Elephas maximus indicus: one gene and its partner. The protein of the gene in region 2 purifies or fractionates together with the protein of the main gene of each other region. This does not show direct contact. Links are inferred from orthologs where the notes say so. Each region holds a gene or a part of one and is shown on either strand. Other genes may lie near its edges. The genes, in order: AP4M1 and TEPSIN.

What was found.
Region 1: the proteins of TEPSIN (region 2) and AP4M1 purify together in Homo sapiens (co-immunoprecipitation; 3 studies listed by BioGRID and IntAct, with this or other methods). This does not show direct contact. The link is inferred for Elephas maximus indicus from reciprocal best matches to the Homo sapiens genes TEPSIN and AP4M1.

Annotation. Positions count from the first base shown.
Region 1 is NC_064830.1:91,608,380-91,616,268, reverse strand, and holds the start of AP4M1 (AP-4 complex subunit mu-1), read right to left. Parts: upstream 3,242-7,889; 5' UTR 3,092-3,241; coding exon 3,034-3,091; intron 2,932-3,033; coding exon 2,843-2,931; intron 2,506-2,842; coding exon 2,399-2,505; intron 2,320-2,398; coding exon 2,223-2,319; intron 2,071-2,222; coding exon 1,960-2,070; intron 1,870-1,959; coding exon 1,789-1,869; intron 1,564-1,788; coding exon 1,501-1,563; intron 1,400-1,500; coding exon 1,333-1,399; intron 1,236-1,332; coding exon 1,182-1,235; intron 831-1,181; coding exon 724-830; intron 623-723; coding exon 528-622; intron 227-527; coding exon 182-226; intron 1-181. Other genes in the region: DNA replication licensing factor MCM7, read left to right, coding at 4,048-4,117, 4,777-4,856, 5,219-5,383, 5,560-5,684, 5,758-5,938, 6,236-6,373, 6,691-6,840, 7,043-7,157 and 2 more. UniProt on the Homo sapiens protein: Component of the adaptor protein complex 4 (AP-4). Adaptor protein complexes are vesicle coat components involved both in vesicle formation and cargo selection. They control the vesicular transport of proteins in different trafficking pathways.
Region 2 is NC_064837.1:71,128,988-71,137,107, forward strand, and holds the start of TEPSIN (AP-4 complex accessory subunit tepsin), read right to left. Parts: upstream 3,161-8,120; intron 3,106-3,160; exon of another isoform or gene 1,919-3,105; 5' UTR 1,323-1,918; coding exon 1,151-1,322; intron 917-1,150; coding exon 825-916; intron 739-824; coding exon 645-738; intron 453-644; coding exon 385-452; intron 119-384; coding exon 40-118; intron 1-39. Other genes in the region: NDUFAF8 (NADH dehydrogenase [ubiquinone] 1 alpha subcomplex assembly factor 8), read left to right, coding at 3,573-3,656, 3,864-3,974, 4,442-4,468. UniProt on the Homo sapiens protein: Associates with the adapter-like complex 4 (AP-4) and may therefore play a role in vesicular trafficking of proteins at the trans-Golgi network.

The DNA of each region.
Region 1 (7,889 bases), on a different chromosome or scaffold from region 2:
ATCGTTCTTTAATGTCACAACCGGAGTACAACACAGGTGCTACCATCCCCTTCCCAAACTAGGGGACTCTATGTTAAAAGGGATTCTGAGGCTGATGGGTGCATATGAAAAGGCAGGAGATATTTTGACCCTGTGTCCTATTCACATAGCTGAACTAGGCCTGGCCAGACCCAACTCTTACCTCTTTGGAGGTAGATCACATCGTAACTTCAGATAAACCTGGAGCCTGGATGAAAGGGTAAAACACCTTTACCGAGAACATGTCCTACTGGCATCTCACCATTCCCCACCCAGACCTCCATGCATGGCTGTGTAATTGTGCCCCAGGGAGAGAGAAGGTGCTGAAATCCAGCCCAACTCCAGCAGCCAAGCCTCTCATGGGGCTGAGTCCACATGGAGGAAAGTGTGCCTTTTTCTAATTCTCAATCTATTATCACTACCACTGCCACTCCTCCACAGTAAGTCCTGGGAACACATATGTATCGGCTTGGGTTCCAGAGAAGTTCTACAACAGGGAATGATCTCACCTGCCTGAACCTCGGTCCCACTGCACAGAGGGAAAGAGCCGGAAAGGGAGAGGGGAGGGGAGGTCATCTGAGAGTTGGTACCGCATTACAGTCAGCTGAAACCAGAGAGAAGCAGAGGTTGGTTCAGTCTCCTCACACCTGAACTGCCTCCTTTTCCGACAGTAGACAGACTATACTGGGCCACCCCTATCCTGACCTCTCCTTGAGGTGGCTGCAAGCGGAGGATTCGATGAGACTCAAACTCGTCCAGATGCACAGAGCTGTGAAATGAGACCTCATCAACCCGAATTCCTGGCCCATAACCTGCAAAGAGAGAAAGACCCCTCTCTTAAGACATACTTTGAGAAGGAAGAGCAGGGAGAGGGGGAGGATGTCTTTAATACACTTAAATGCCCTTCCCCTATTCTAAGATGATCCAGTTTTCTCTATGAAATCTTGGCAATGCCTACACCTAGGAGGGAGCCCTGGTGGCACGGTGGTTAAGAGCTCGGCTGCTAACTAAAAGGTCAGCAGTTCGAATCCACCAGCCGCTCCTCGGAAACCCCATGGGACAGTTCTACTCCGTCCTATAGGTTCACTATGAGTCTGAATCGACCCAACGGCAACAAAAAAAAATTTTTTTAAATACCTGTGAGAGAAAGGCTTTCTCCTTACCTCTCAGTTCTGACTTCCCCACACAAAATTCCTCTGTCAAACCAATGCGCATCTCTGTTAGAAAAAAACGTCAGAAAACTTAACAACGCCATACGTACCACCAAGGAGCCTGTCCCTACCCAACCCTGGGGCCAGCCTGTGGCCTTCTCACCAGAGCCGCTGGGCAGAAAGCTCTTGAGTCGGATCTCTCCCTGCACATCCACCTTCAATAGTGAGCCCTGAGAGTGACAGGGAAGTTAATACCCAGAATTTTGTCCACCCCAGCGTGTTTCCCATATACCATCTGTCCTCAGCTCCAGGGCTAGGGATCCAAACTTACATTAGATGCTATCAGTACAGACAATCTCTCGACCACATCCAAAAAAACTTCATTCTTTTGATTCTGAGGAAGAGAGGGGATTTGGGTGGTTGGAGGCCGAATGGCCTGTATTCTAAAACGGGTAGGCTGAAAGGATCGCATAGTTGAGGCTAGGGCCCTGGGGTGGGGACATGGGGGTGAGGGAAGGAATACTCAGCTCTAGGGGTAGTGGAAAGAAACACCTGGATCTTTGACTCTGGAGTCCAGAAAAAAACTGGGAGAGTCTGCCACTGTCAATTCTTTCCTCACCTGGTCAGAGTGACTGGAGAGGATGGGGCGGCTGGCTGCGCTGCTGGGGGCCACTTTGCTCTGTTGTGTCTCAGCCCCGAACTGTAAAACACCCAAAGCAATCAATCCTTCTCGGTTACTCCTAGCCAACCCTCCTTCTCTTTCCTCATTTTTTATACCCCCTCCACTGACCAAGCCAACACTGCTGAGGTCAAAGAGGCTGAAGGGCTTGCTGACCACAGCTTCCGTCTGGATGAAGTTCCTCAGCATCTCCATGGATGTGGTCTGTACGTAGCCATAGTCCTATTGGTGATGGAAGGAGGATCGCTGGGTGGTCAGTAGGGAGAAGGGGTGAAAAGGAGCAGGAGTACTTAGCTTCCCAACAATAGGATCCCACGTAGAGGAGTGGATATGTCAGGGGAACAGGGACAAATGAGGGATATCCTTGAGCTTACCAACACTTCATCCAGTAGTTCATAGACAAGAGCTACATTGCGGGAGATGGTCCCCTCGCTCAGGGAGCCACAGTAATCACCCAGGAGGGTGGCTAACCTGAGGCAAAAGAAAGAGGTGTGTATATTCTCCTTCTCTCAGATCCCCACTCCCAGATGCCCAGCCCAGCCCTCCTCACCGGGAGAGCAGCTCTAGGAGGCTGAAGGGAGAAATGTTTTCTGAAGTCGTGGCCACCAAATAGAGGCCGCTGTGTCTGATATGAATAAAATGACGGCCATCGTGGTGCTGAGAGGCAGAGGCAGGAAAAGAGCTAGTGGTTAAGACCTAAGTTCACATCCTAGCTTCCTTAATAGCAGTGCAATTTCAGGTGAACTTGAAACCATCCTAAGTCCCAGCATCCTAAGATGCAAACGGGGTTAATAAAGAGTGCCTACCCCAGAGTTCTGAGAATTGAGGGACAAGGAACTGTGCGTGGTATATTGTTAGCACCTAATGAACTTTGATTAATATTATTTGGGAGAATGTTCTCACCAAATGGAGGCTCTCAGGGAACAGCCCCGGGGACTAGGAGGCGCCCACCTGTCCCCGCCATCTCCTACCCCCCCCATTGCGGGGTGGTTACCATGACAACCGGGGACTCGTCTCCGGGCAGTCCCGTCAGCTTCCGGTAGAAGAGCTCGGCCACATCCCGGCCACCACTGTCCCCGCGGACTGACCGGGTGGAAGGACAGTTAAGAAGCTGGCGATACACCCTGTCTCTGGGGCACCACTCCCACCAAGTCGCTCCACCCCCGCCCCGCATGTCAAGGATACAGTCTTTGTAGATGAGCGGGTCCCCCTTCGAGGACAGAATGAAGAACTGGGAAATCATGGTCGTTCTGGAGAGGAGACAAGACTGCGAGACCTCGGCCTGCCCCGCCCTGCGGCTCTGGAACAAAAGGACGCGCGTGGGCTGGGCCTTTAAGAGCGACTCTCCTCCGCCCCCGCCGGCTGGGACCGCGGGAAACCGGGCGCCCGCCCCGCCTCGCCCGGACTTCTCCACCCGACCCCCCCGCCTCCTCCGTGCCACTCTGCCCAGGCTAGGCCGGTGATTGGCCCAAGCGGGGGGCGGCTGGGGCCTGCCGCGAGTGGGAAGGGCGACAGGCCTTCCTTTCCAATTGGCCCGCACGGAGTGGCGCCGCTCACGTGGGGGGCTACGTTTCGCGCCAATTTCAGTTGCTCGAGCGCAGTCAGCCGCGCGGACGTTCTTTGCTATTCGCGGCGCGAGTCTCCTCGGCCCGCCAACTGCTGCCGCGCGCCCCTTGGCAGGGATGGCACTTAAGGACTACGCGCTCGAGAAAGGTAAGGGTCTGCAAGCCCGGGAGGGGCGTTCTGCACGGGAAGCCTCCAGGCCAACAGCTGGTGATGTAGGCTGGGAACGTGGAGGGCCGGGGTCGGCGGGCTCTGGGGCGTGTGAGGCCAGGGGTACGGTCGGGAGACGGCGAGGCTGAGGCAGACGGTCTGGGAGGCGCACAGGAGCACCGGGGTCGAAGGAAGACAGATAACCCTGTCCAGGAAAGCTCGGGGTCCTGGTGGGGGTAAGGGGCGGAGAGCCCGGCTGGAGGCTCCACAGGGAAGGTCACGCCCAGACGAGACCGAGACCTCAGGTGACCCTGTTTGAGGGGCTTTTCGGCCTTAGGGATGGGGACCCCCGGTTCGCTTCCCGCCCCGCTTTGGGCACTCTCGAATTCCCGCGTCCTACGGGAGGCGCGCCGAAGCCCCAGGGGCGGGAAGGCCAGAGCCGCTGCGCGCCCGGATTGGCTGTCGTGGGCCAACCTCGCAGCGGAAATGAAGACAGGGCGGAAGTTGCGCGACTGGCTGGAGGGAGCGTCGTGTGTAAACAGTGTTCTTCCGCGCGGTAGCCTCGGAGGGAGCGACCTGGGGTGGGGCGTGCCTGGAATTGGGGAATTTCGCGGGAGGCAGAGAGAAGAGGCAGTAGTGTGGAACGGCGTGGCCCTTGGCGTGCTGGCCAATCGCCGACGGGCTCCCGCCTCGGGCGGAGGAATCCCGGGCTGTGAGGCGGCTGGATTCGGGGCCCATGTGCTTCTTTGTTTACTAAGAGCGGAAGCAGTGGCGGGGAGAGGGAGTGGGCTGGGAGACGGGCCTAGTGGCAAGAGATCCCGAGGAGAACAGCAATTTATGAGACCGAGAGAAGAAAGGAGATCATATGGGTGGAAGAAAAGCTGAGCACCGACAGGCCTGTGTTGCGAGTGTGGGAGGCCACTGGGGAAAGGTACTGGGAGTTTTAATTACGGCAGAGACTGGAATTTCCCTGCGAGGAGGGTGTCGGGTAATACTCTTAGCTGCCAGGACCACTTAGTCTTTTTTGGTTAAAAACAGACTTGTGAAAAGGAGTTTTGCCCGGTTTGGGGAGTTTTGTAGTTATTTAGGTACTTGCCTAATTAGCGCACAGATTGTTTTAAATGAAAGCGGGTTTCTTAGATTTCCATCAAAGGGATTTTTAGTTAGGTATCTGAAAGAAGGGGTTTTTCTCACGATTTTACATTTATTTTGTAGAAAAGGCTAAGAAGTTCCTACAAGAGTTTTACCACGACGAGGAATCTGGCAAGAAGCTGTTTAAGTATGGGAACCAGTTGGTAAGTTTTAAGATTAGATGGAGGGAATGGGGTAGTTGCTTAAGGGGCTCTAAAAGGTGGCCTGGCTTGTTTCAGCAAGTAAATCTGTCTGTAAATGACACGTTTAGCATGGCACCTAATGCACGATGAGTGTAAAAGTACACTCGTAATAATACTAATAATAATAAAATAATACTAAAATGTCTTAGGAGGTGGGAGGTTGTCTTTGGGGGCAGAGGAGTGAGTATTGCTGTCTCACATTGTTCTTTCTCCCTGTACATGCCCCGAGACTGCTGAGCTCACAGTGATGGCTTTTCATGTGTGAACATTGGTGAACAAGGTGAACTTGGCTCTGAAGTGTTGCTGTCTCTTCCCCACCCCAGGTTCAGCTGGCTCATCGGGAACAAGTGGCACTGTATGTGGACCTGGATGATATAGCGGAGGATGACCCTGAGTTGGTGGACTCGATTTGTGAGAACGCTAAGCGTTATGCGAGGCTTTTTGCTGATGCCGTACAAGAGCTGCTGCCTCAGTACAAGGAGAGGGAGGTGAGTGGTTGGAGGAAAAGGCAGGCCAGTAGACTTAGGTCTTTGCTGAGAAGCTTCTCAGGTGTTTTTGAACTGGCAGGAAAGTGATGGCGGTGACTTCTGTTTGGGGCCCTTTATGCTGCCTTCCTTCTCTGTCCTGCTGCTCATTTTCCTTGTTTTTGTCGGTCCTACTGTAGGTGGTAAATAAAGATGTCTTGGATGTTTACATTGAGCATCGGCTGATGATGGAACAGCGGGGCCGGGACCCTGCAGCTGCCCGCAGCCCCCAGAACCAGTATCCTCCTGAACTCATGCGCAGATTGTGAGTGGCCTCTGGGGAAGAATGTGGCAATTTGTTTAGTAGAACCCTGCTAATAACCATTTTCTCCTTTTAGTGAGTTGTACTTCCAGGGCCCAAGCAGCAGCAAGCCTCGTGTGATCCGGGAAGTACGGGCTGACTCGGTGGGGAAGTTGGTAACTGTGCGTGGGATCGTTACTCGTGTCTCTGAAGTCAAACCCAGGATGGTGGTGGCCACCTACACTTGTGATCAGTGCGGGGCAGAGACCTACCAGCCGGTAAGCATGGAGCGTGGAACACGAAGGCGGTTAACTCTGTTAATGGTTTTTGTAAGAACTATATTTGTTCACTGATGTTTGTTATTTTTTATTTATTACGACACACTTGTGTGCTTAGTTTCCATTCTTATTGGGATATGTAGTGGTTTTGCCATTTGTTTGGTTATATTGGTATCTGTCGCTGTTGATCCAGAAGGGTTAAAAATGTTCTAGACAGTTCCATGATGAGTCAGGTGACTGACGGTAAAGGGGTTTTTATGTTTGATTGTTTTTATTGTTTCTTTTCTCACACCCTAGATTCAGTCTCCAACTTTCATGCCTCTGATCATGTGCCCAAGCCAAGAGTGCCAAACCAACCGCTCCGGAGGGCGGCTGTATCTGCAGACACGTGGCTCCAAATTCATCAAATTCCAAGAGATGAAGATGCAGGAGCATGTGAGTTTGGTGTATGTGCCCTGGGTGGGTGAAAAGGGAGTCTGCTCAAACCCTGGGGTTACTTGCGGAGTGGGAGAAAGAATGAAAGCAGAAAGAGCTGAGGCAAGAGAAGTCACCTAGAGCAGAAAAGAAATTTAACCTCAGCTGAAACTTTCTGATTGAGTGAGGAAAAGGTAAAGGGGGTCTCTTTTGCTCCTCCTAGGGGCTTGTCTGGAGCTGGCTAGGCTGAGAAGCAGAAGAATGGGATGTCTAGGGAGGTGAGGTTTGATCCCGTGGGCTTACATTCTTTTCTTTTTATATGCTCTTCTCTCCCTTAGAGTGACCAAGTTCCTGTGGGAAATATCCCCCGAAGCATCACAGTGTTGGTTGAAGGAGAGAACACAAGGATTGCCCAGCCTGGAGACCACATCAGTGTCACTGGTATATTTCTGCCAATCCTGCGTACTGGGTTCCGACAGGTGGTACAGGTAAGAAAGGGTGTTTCAAATGAGGAAATATTTCTTTTTCTCTTCCTCTCACTCATTGTCTTCACCTCTAGCCCCGAGGAAAATTACTAACAGCAAAATACCAAACAAAATATATAAAGGGCTTTGTTGGAAATCATTAGGGGATCAGGTGAGTGGGACAGGTAAAGGGGTTTCATCCATACCCAGCATTTTCTTGCCATAGGGCTTACTCTCAGAGACTTACCTGGAAGCCCATCGGGTTGTGAAGATGAATAAGAGTGAGGATGATGAGGCCGGGGCTGGAGAGCTAAGCAGGGAGGAGCTGAGGCAGATTGCAGGTGAGGGGCAGGGGGAAAATTAGAATTTGGGTTTTTTCCTGAGCTCCTTTTTTTTCTCTGGTGAGTAATTTTAACTCTCTTATAGAAGAGGACTTCTATGAAAAGTTGGCAGCTTCCATTGCCCCAGAGATATATGGACATGAAGATGTGAAGAAGGCACTTTTGCTCCTGCTGGTGGGAGGTGTAGACCAGTCCCCTCGAGGCATGAAGATCAGAGGTAAAAATGAGTGGGAGAGAGGTTTGAGGTGAATGAAGCCATTTGGGAGAAAAAGAATGAGAGGCCGCAGAATAAGGGAATTGGCATCTTGGTTCATGGGCACAGGGAGGGCTTGGAAGAAATTATATTGGGCATGGGGGTATGGTAGACTTCAAAAGTGTATTTCTGTTGTTGGACAACTTGCTTTGGGAAAATAGTCACTTGGGGTCTTCCTTCCATCCCTCCAGGCAACATCAACATCTGCCTGATGGGGGATCCTGGTGTGGCCAAGTCTCAGCTCCTGTCTTATATTGATCGCCTGGCACCCCGCAGTGAGTAATCTGACCCAGGGAGAGGCACACATAGAACCACATTTCTGTTCATTCCTTGGGGGATTGGGAGGCAGGAGTGGGTGGGAATAGCAGGTCCTGAGGAGGTTTAGTGGCAGGGGAGAGGAGATGTTGCCAGTGCGGGAACTCCCAAAGGTCTCCAGCTGCCTCGGGTAGTTGTGCGTTGGGCAGATAGAGCAGTTCCAG
Region 2 (8,120 bases):
TGCAGAGCCCAGGATGGCAGGGAGGGGCATGTCACGTACCAGTGGGAGGCAGCAGCCTGGGGACTCGGGGGGCAGACAGCGGTGACACCGCATCTGAGAACAGGGCGCTGTCCAAGTCCTAAACAGGAGCCGGAGATTATTTAGGCACGCCGCACCACACCCCTGCCCCCCTGTCCCCCCACCCCTCCACGCCACCCTCCCCCACTCTCCACAGTCCTAGAACCACCTGCACCTCCTCTGCACTGTACAGGCTGCCAACGGGGCTCTGGGGCGGGGGCAGGGGTTCCAGGCCAAGCAGAGCCCAGGGTACCCAGGTCGGGGGGAGGGAGAATGAAGCTACTGTGCAGTGTGGAGGGGAACAATGGCCCGGAGGAGGCGACTCACCTGGGCGGCCAGCCGGACCTTCTGGTACAAGCTGTTCCCGTGAAGAGGGTCGGGGGGCCCAGTGAAGACTGCAGACAGAGGAGAGGCGGTGCTCAGTCTGGCACCAGGTGCCCTGGGCACCAGGCGGGCACACTCTGGAAGCCCACCCCGGGGGGAAGCAGAGCGCGTCACCCCATCACAGCTCCACCCCCCAGTCTGGGCTGCAAGGCTGCTGCGCTTAGAGGGGGTGCTCTCAGCCCAGACGACACGCCCGCCCGCACCGGTGGCCTCCTGGATGAAGGCAGAGTTGCGCTTCAGGATGCCCAGGAAGGACGAGGAGCCATGGCTGCACAGGTAGAGCAAGATCTTCAGTACCTGGGGTTGGAAGAGCTATGTGGGCAGGCAGCCGGCAGCAGCCGCCTCCACCCTGGGCAGTTCACCCGCCTCCCCTCCCCTCCCACCTTGAGCTTCACGTGGCCCGAGCTGCTCTGCAAGCGCCTCAGGAGGTACTCCAGGAGGCACTGGCTGCTCCCCAGGGACTCGTGGGAGATGTCTGGGTGTGGGGTTAGGGAAGGAAGGCAGGCTATCCCGTCACTTCGGCCTGCTCAGCACATGCTCCCCCAAGGGCCCGTGTCATCGGAACACCACGTTCGGACCTGCCCGCACCTGACTATGGGTGCAAGCACCCGCGGAGCCCACCTCGGGGTAGCAGAAGAACCCCAGTAATCTCTGGGCCACTCAGGGCCCTGATGCCCACTCCCCCAACCCAGACACCCAGGAAGGATACTAGCAATCTCTTCAAACAAGTAGCCAGGACATGGGACGTCATCATCCGACGTGCCTTTCAGGAGGACTGGAAGCTGGAAAGAGCAAGAGGCCCTGCGTGAGGAGCCACCCACGTGGGTGAGCCCACAGCCACTGCAGGTGACGAAGCTCCGGAAACTCCTGAGACGTGCCATCCCAGTGCTTGGTGCTTTAGGGGCGCCAGCTTCCAGCTATCTCACTGTTGGCACACCCATCAGGGAAAGGATCCGGGGCAGTGGCTCTCCAAGCAGGTCGAAACAGGCACCGCAAATGGCCCCCACCCACAGCCGGGCAGCACAATTCAAAGTGCCTTTAATGCGCTGTCTACGGCCAAGCAGGAGAAACAAGCCTGGCGGCAAGCCCTTCCCACAAAAATACAGCACGCGGCTCAGTCTTTACAGAGCTTGAAGTGGCAACATTACAGAACTGCCTGGGCTGACGGACCCAATCACTCCACCTCCGCCACGGACCTCACAGAACTACCCTGCACCCAGCTTACCTTGTGTGTTTACGTTTGCCCGTCAGCACAAGCGGATGTTCATTTACGGCACACACTTATCTATCAGCACCAGAACTAGTTGCCACTGAGTTGACTCTCCATTCGTGGTAAACCCACGTATCGGAATAGAAGTGTACTCCACAGTGTCTACAATGGCTGTGACCTTTCAGAACCAGGTCGCCAAGCCTTTCTTCCGAGGTCTTTCAGCACCCACTCAAAGGCCACTGCTGTAGTCGATTCTGACCCATGACCCTGTAGAATATAGTAGAACTACCCCATAGAGTTTCCAAGGCTGTAACCTTTATGGAAAAAGATTACCACATCTTTCGTGAGGATTGACTGGTGGGTTAGAACCCCAGCCTTTCGATTAGCAGCTGAGTGCTTTAACCAGTGTGCCACACACACACACTGTGGCTATTAGCAAGAAATGCACTATTTACAGGGATAGAACATCAACCTCTCATTAGCCAACGTGTCGTTCACCTGATCCTAAACACAGGAGAGTTTGGGATTGTTTAAAGCAGTGAGTACGTAGACCCCGTGGGTGCTAAGCACGTGACACGGTACAAACGGGCGCCGCTAGTATCGTGTCAGCGCACGATAACGTGTCTGGGTGATGCTAAGTGGACAAGGCAGGATGGGCCAATGCAAACACGGCTCACGTGCCAACCAGACCTGGAGAGAGCCTAGGGGGTCTGTATATGTGGGTTCAATGCCCGCCACGTTTTTTTCTCCTTAAAGCTGTTTTAATTTGGGAAAGAAAGTAGACTTTCGCAGCCTAGAGCTCCCACTTTCCCGGCTGAGGTCCTTCAGAAAGAGATGGCTTCAACCCCAGAGCTGACACCAGAGTCGGAGTGATGCGCCTATCGGAGTGATGTGCCTGCGTTGTACACGGGGGTGTCCCAGCCTTCAGGAGAGACTCAGACCTCAGCAGGAGGCAGAACACGGGGGGCAGGAGAGGAGCTGGGAAGGGGACCGAGGCTGGGGGACCGGGAGGCTGGACACCAGGGAGGAGAGGAGGCGACAGACGGGACCGAGGCCGGAGGACCGGGAGGCTGGCCACCGGGGCAGAGGGAGACCACAGAGAGGACCGAGGCTGGGGGACCGGCAAACTGGCCACCCAGGCAGGGAGGAAGCGACAGAGAGGACCGAGGCCGGGAGACCGGGAAGCTGGATACCAGGGCGGAGGGAGGCGACAGAGGGGACCGAGGCCAGGGGACCGGGACGCTGGACCCCAGGGCAGGGAGGAGGTGACAGAGGGGACCGAGGGTGGGAGGCTGGCTGGCGGGATGGGGACTGAGGCCGGGGCCGAGGCCAGCGAGGGCCTGAGGAGGGGCTGTGCGGTGCGCGGCGGCTCCAGGCCCTGCGAGCACCGGGAGGGCGGGCCGGGCCCAGAAGCGGCGGCATGCGGTGACCCCGAGGCGGGCGGCCCGCGCGGGGAGAAAGCAGAGCAGGGGGAGGACCTGACAGACCTGACAGACTGCGGACACTCACCCGGTGCAGGAAGCTCAGGCGGTCCCGCAGCGGCGGCGCTGCCGCCATAATGCTGGCCACCTCCTGGCCACGCTGCTTCCGCCAGGCCCAGACCCGTCCAATCACCGCGCGGGGCTGGCCCAGTTGGCCAACCGCTCGCGGTGGGGCGGGCACTGGGCTGGCTTCGGTAAACAATTTGAGCATAAACCAATCCAAAGTCCCAGAGCAAGAACAGACAAGGACACAAGCCAATTGCAAGACTCTGAGAGACCAGCCGCGGCTCTGGAGGCGGTTGTGGAGGGCGAAGGTCGAAGTCTACCAATTAGAGAGCTCGGTGTAGGTCAGGGCGGAAGTGCGCTTCTCTGAGGCCGCTGGCGCCGGAAGAGGACGGACCCAAAATGGCGGCTCCCGCGGGGGCCCGGATCGGTCGTTCATGTCAGCGAAGGGAGCGGTGTGGAGTCGCGTGCGAGGCCGCCTCCGCGCTTTCCCCGAGCGCCTGGCGGCCTGCGGGACCGAGGTGAGGACTAGGCAGTGTCTTCGGAGCAGGAAGGGCCGCGCGGGGAGAAGAGCGGAGGGCGATGGGGCTACTCCCGGGCAGGAAGGGCCGCGCGCAGCGGAGGGCGGTGGGCGAAGCCGAGACCCGGAGGGACCCTGGGAGCGGAGGGCGGTGGGACGAGTCTGGCGCCGAGAGGACCGCCGCGACCCGCGCCCGACTCCTCTGCAGGCCGCGGCGTATGGCAGGTGCGTGCAGGCCTCCACTGCCCCGGGCAGCCGCCTGAGGAAGGACCTCTGCGCACAGGAGTTCGAGGCCTTGCGGAGGTGCTTCACCGCCGCGGTAGGTGGGCGCCGGGAGGCCCGAGAGGTCAGGAGGGAACCCGAACCGGTGGTCTGCCTGCTGCCCACCTGCCCGCCTCCCCAGGGCTTTCCACCCGGGGTTGTAGCCCTCCCTCTCATTCCTTCAGTGCTCGAGCGCCTGCTGCTGCTTTAGACGTCGGGACACCATAACAGTCAGCCAAAAAGTCCACAAAACTCTTTTGTTTTCGTGGAGTTTACGTGTTTATTAGAAGACGATGACATTAACCTGAGAAACCATCGGAAAATTAGCAGAGATGATGAGGGCGGTGGGGGGTCACCTTACCAACACCCTGGTGTTTTGGGGTTCACACAGCTGAGCCTCCTGCCACAGCCTCGTTTCTTAAGTCCAGTTTGGTCAAGGAAGACCTTTGTGGTGGGAGTTTTCTTGCTTTGGAGCCATATCTAACCTGAAAACTACCTGTGCTGACAAAGTACCTTCTTTTTCAGGCCAAGACCGTGAAGGGAGGCTGCTAGGAGGGACCAGCCCACCCAAGCTGCACAGAGCCAGGCCCAACCTTGCCAACAGCACGTGGCAGCATTTAACACTGAGGCTGAAACCTAGGCATGGAGACTTCGGCTCTCAAATGGGCCTGCGTCTCTGCAGGGAGAGCTGCAGAAAGAGGGGGAGTGGGTTTCCCAGCAAGAATGTACAACAGGGTGTGGGACAGAATAAAACATACTTGAACTAAAAGACAACCGGTACAGATTCTGTTTGACTGTGCAGGGGGCAGGGCAGGGAACAAGGATGTACCAGGAATAAAATTAGAAGTGCCACCTTAAGGGTTAAAGTAATAATTGTGAGGATGGTGCAGGACTGGGCAGTGTTTCCTTCCATTGTACGTGGGGTGGTTAATCAAAACAAACTCCACGGCACCGAACAGCAGCAAACCATGAGGGGAAAAAAAATCCATGCAGTAGAGAATCCTACAGCTGACTTTCCTGGTCCCAGGAAAAGGTGGGGTCACACTTCCAGACTAACAATGGGCTATAAGGGGGACCCCTTACCCCTCCTTTTGCTACCTCCTCTTGGTATCAGGAGCCCAAGTTCATCACTGACATCTCTCTTGCCCAGTCCAGCTCCCCATCCTCTCGTTCCATGAGCTAAAAGGGAGATCAGAAGTGCAGAACCCGCCCCGGCCGTACATTTAAATAGTCTAAAGCCCACAGGCCATCGGGGTCCCAAAAATCCTGGGCACGCTGGGAACTGCTTTGAGTGGGCATCCCCTCTCATGCAGCAGCCTACTCCAGATGCCAGAGCATGGCTCACTAGGCCCAGTGAGCAGGAGTAGCCCTGCAACCCAGCGAGCCCAGGCCTGTTTTCAGGCCCTCACCTGGCCCATTTCTAAATTCTATTCCATAATCAGTCCCCTCTCCCCAGGTGTGGAGACCCTCTCGTCCTTGATCCACCTGAGGCTTTGTTCCAGGCGCCTGACGCCCTTGGATCTACCCCACCAGTAGTGGCACGTTTCAGAAAGCACTGGGTGCTCCCAGGACTCTGCCTGTCTCTCTGCGGACAGGTGAGAAACAAGCCAGCATGTGCCAGGCAGGCAGCGCTGTTCCAGCCTCCTGGGAGAGGAGGGGATGGTGGTACCTCCCAACAGAAAAGGGTCCAGAAAACTAGGTTAGCAGGAAAATCAAGGCAGAAATAAAATCCCACCCCAGGTAATATCCTCCTAGACAGCTGGGGGCTGTCTAGGGGGATATTACTGGGCACTGGTTCCTCCAGGGTCACTTCTAATGAAGGGCCGGAGGCACCCTGTGCTGGTGGAACGTGTCCCTGGACTCATGAACACCCAGAACCTGTGTGACCACACGGGACACGGGTCTCTGGGTGAGGCCAACCTGGGGTCGGGGGAGCGTCTTTCAGGTTGTTGTTGTTAGGTGCCGTTGAGTCAGTTCCAACTCATAGGCGACACTATGCACAACAGAACGAAACACCGCCGGGTCCTGCGCCATCCTTTCAATCGTTGTTATGCCTAAGCCCATTGTTGTAGCCACTGTGGCAATCCACCTCGTTGAGGATCTTCCTCTTTTCCGCTGACCCTGTACTCTGCCAAGCATGATGTCCCTCTCCAGGGACTGATCCCTCCTGACAACAAGTCCAAAGTATCTAAGACGCAGTCTCGCCATCCTTGCCTCTAAGGAGCATTCTGGCTGTACTTCTTCTAAGACAGATTTGTTTGTTCTTCCAGCGGTCCATGGTATATTCTATATTCTTCGCCAACACAATTCAAAGGCATCAATTCTTCGGTTTTCCTTATTCATTGCCCAGCTTTCACATGCATATAATGCGATTGAAAATACCATGGCTTGGGTCAGGCGCACCTTAGTCTTCAAGGTGACATCTTTGCTCTTCAACACTTTAAAGAGATCCTTTGTAGCAGATTTACCCAATACGATGCGTCTTGATTTCTTGACTGCCGCTTCTATGGCTGTGGATTGGGGATTCAAGTAAAATGAAATACTGACAACTTCAATCTTTTCTCCGTTTATCATGATGTTGCTCATTGGTCCAATTGTGAGGATTTTTGTTTTCTTTGTTGAGGTGCAATCCATACTGAAGGCTGTGGTCTTTGATCTTCATTAGTAAGTGCTTCAAGTCCTCTTCACTTTCAGCAAGCAAGGTTGCGTCACCTACATAACGCAGGTTGTTAATGAGTCTTCCTCCAACCCTGATGCCCCGTTCTTCATATAGTCCAGCTTCTCGTATTATTTGCTCAGCATACAGATTGAATAGGTATGGTGAAAGATTACAACCCTGACACACACCTTTCCTGAATTCAAAACATTCAGTATCCCCTTGTTCTGTCCGAAAAACTGCCTCTTGATCTATGTAAAGGTTCCTCATGAGCACAATTAAGCGTTCTGGAATTCCCATTCTTCGCAATGTTATCCATAATTTGTTATGATCCACACAGTTGAATGCCTTTGCATAGTCAATAAAACACGGGTAAACATCCTTCTGGTATTCTCTGCTTTCAGCCAGGATCCATCTGACATCAGCAATGATATCCCTGGTTCCACGTCCTCTTCTGAAACCGGCCTGAATTTCTGGCAGTTCCCTGTCAATATACTGCTACAGCCGTTTTTGAATGATCTTCAGCAAGATTTTGCTTAAGTGTGATATTAATGATATTGTTCTATAATTTCCACATTCGGTTGGTTCATCTTTTTTGGGAATAAGCATAAATATGTATCTCTTCCAGTCAGTTGGCCAGGAAACTGTCTTCCATATTTCTTGGCATAGACGGATGAGCACCTCCAGTGCTGCATCTGTTTGTTGAAACATTTCAATTGATATTCCATCAATTCCTGGAGCCTTGTTTTTGGCCAATGCCTTCAGAGCAGCTTGGACTTCTTCCTTCAGTACCATTGGTTCCTGATCATATGCATCTCTTGAAATGGTTGAACATCGATTAATTCTTTTTGGTATAATGACTCTGTGTATTCCTTCCATCTTCTTTTGATGCTTCTTGCGTCGTTTAATATTTTCCCCATAGAATCCTTAATTATTGCAACTCAAGGCTTGAATTTTTTCTTCAGTTCTTTCAGCCTAAGAAATGCCAAGCGTGTTCTTCCCTTTTGGTTTTCCATCTCCAGCTTTCAGACAGAAATGACAATTATTTCAGAAGGTGCAGGTGAAGAGCTGTGTGGTGAGGTTTCTGAGGAACGTCTCAAAGGCTAGTCCTCCTCACAGCTGGGCATCCTACATGTAGTCAGCACACAGCCCCCACGCCAGCCCAGCACATAAGGTTTGGGGTGTCTCCACCAGGATAAGGGCAGGCACCCGTGCAGACACACCACCGCCTGGGGCCTCAGTGGACCTCTGCCACCGATGCGTCTCCCAGACGGCGTGTGTGACCACCAGCTTTTCTGAACCCTTAAAAAGCACCACCCTGCACCTAGGGAGGCTGTGTTTATGGTGAGGTGCTGCACCCTCCTCCCAAGACAATGGACCACCGAAGAGAAAGGAAGCACCATCTCCAGTGGGGATGCCCTGGACTTGCTGCCCCTTCCTGTAGCGTGCCTACCCAACAGTGATATTGGGCGGGGAGATTTCCTGTGTTATCACCTTTATTAATGGTGTTCTCTCACCATTGCCCATCATGCTTTATGTTGGTGGGAT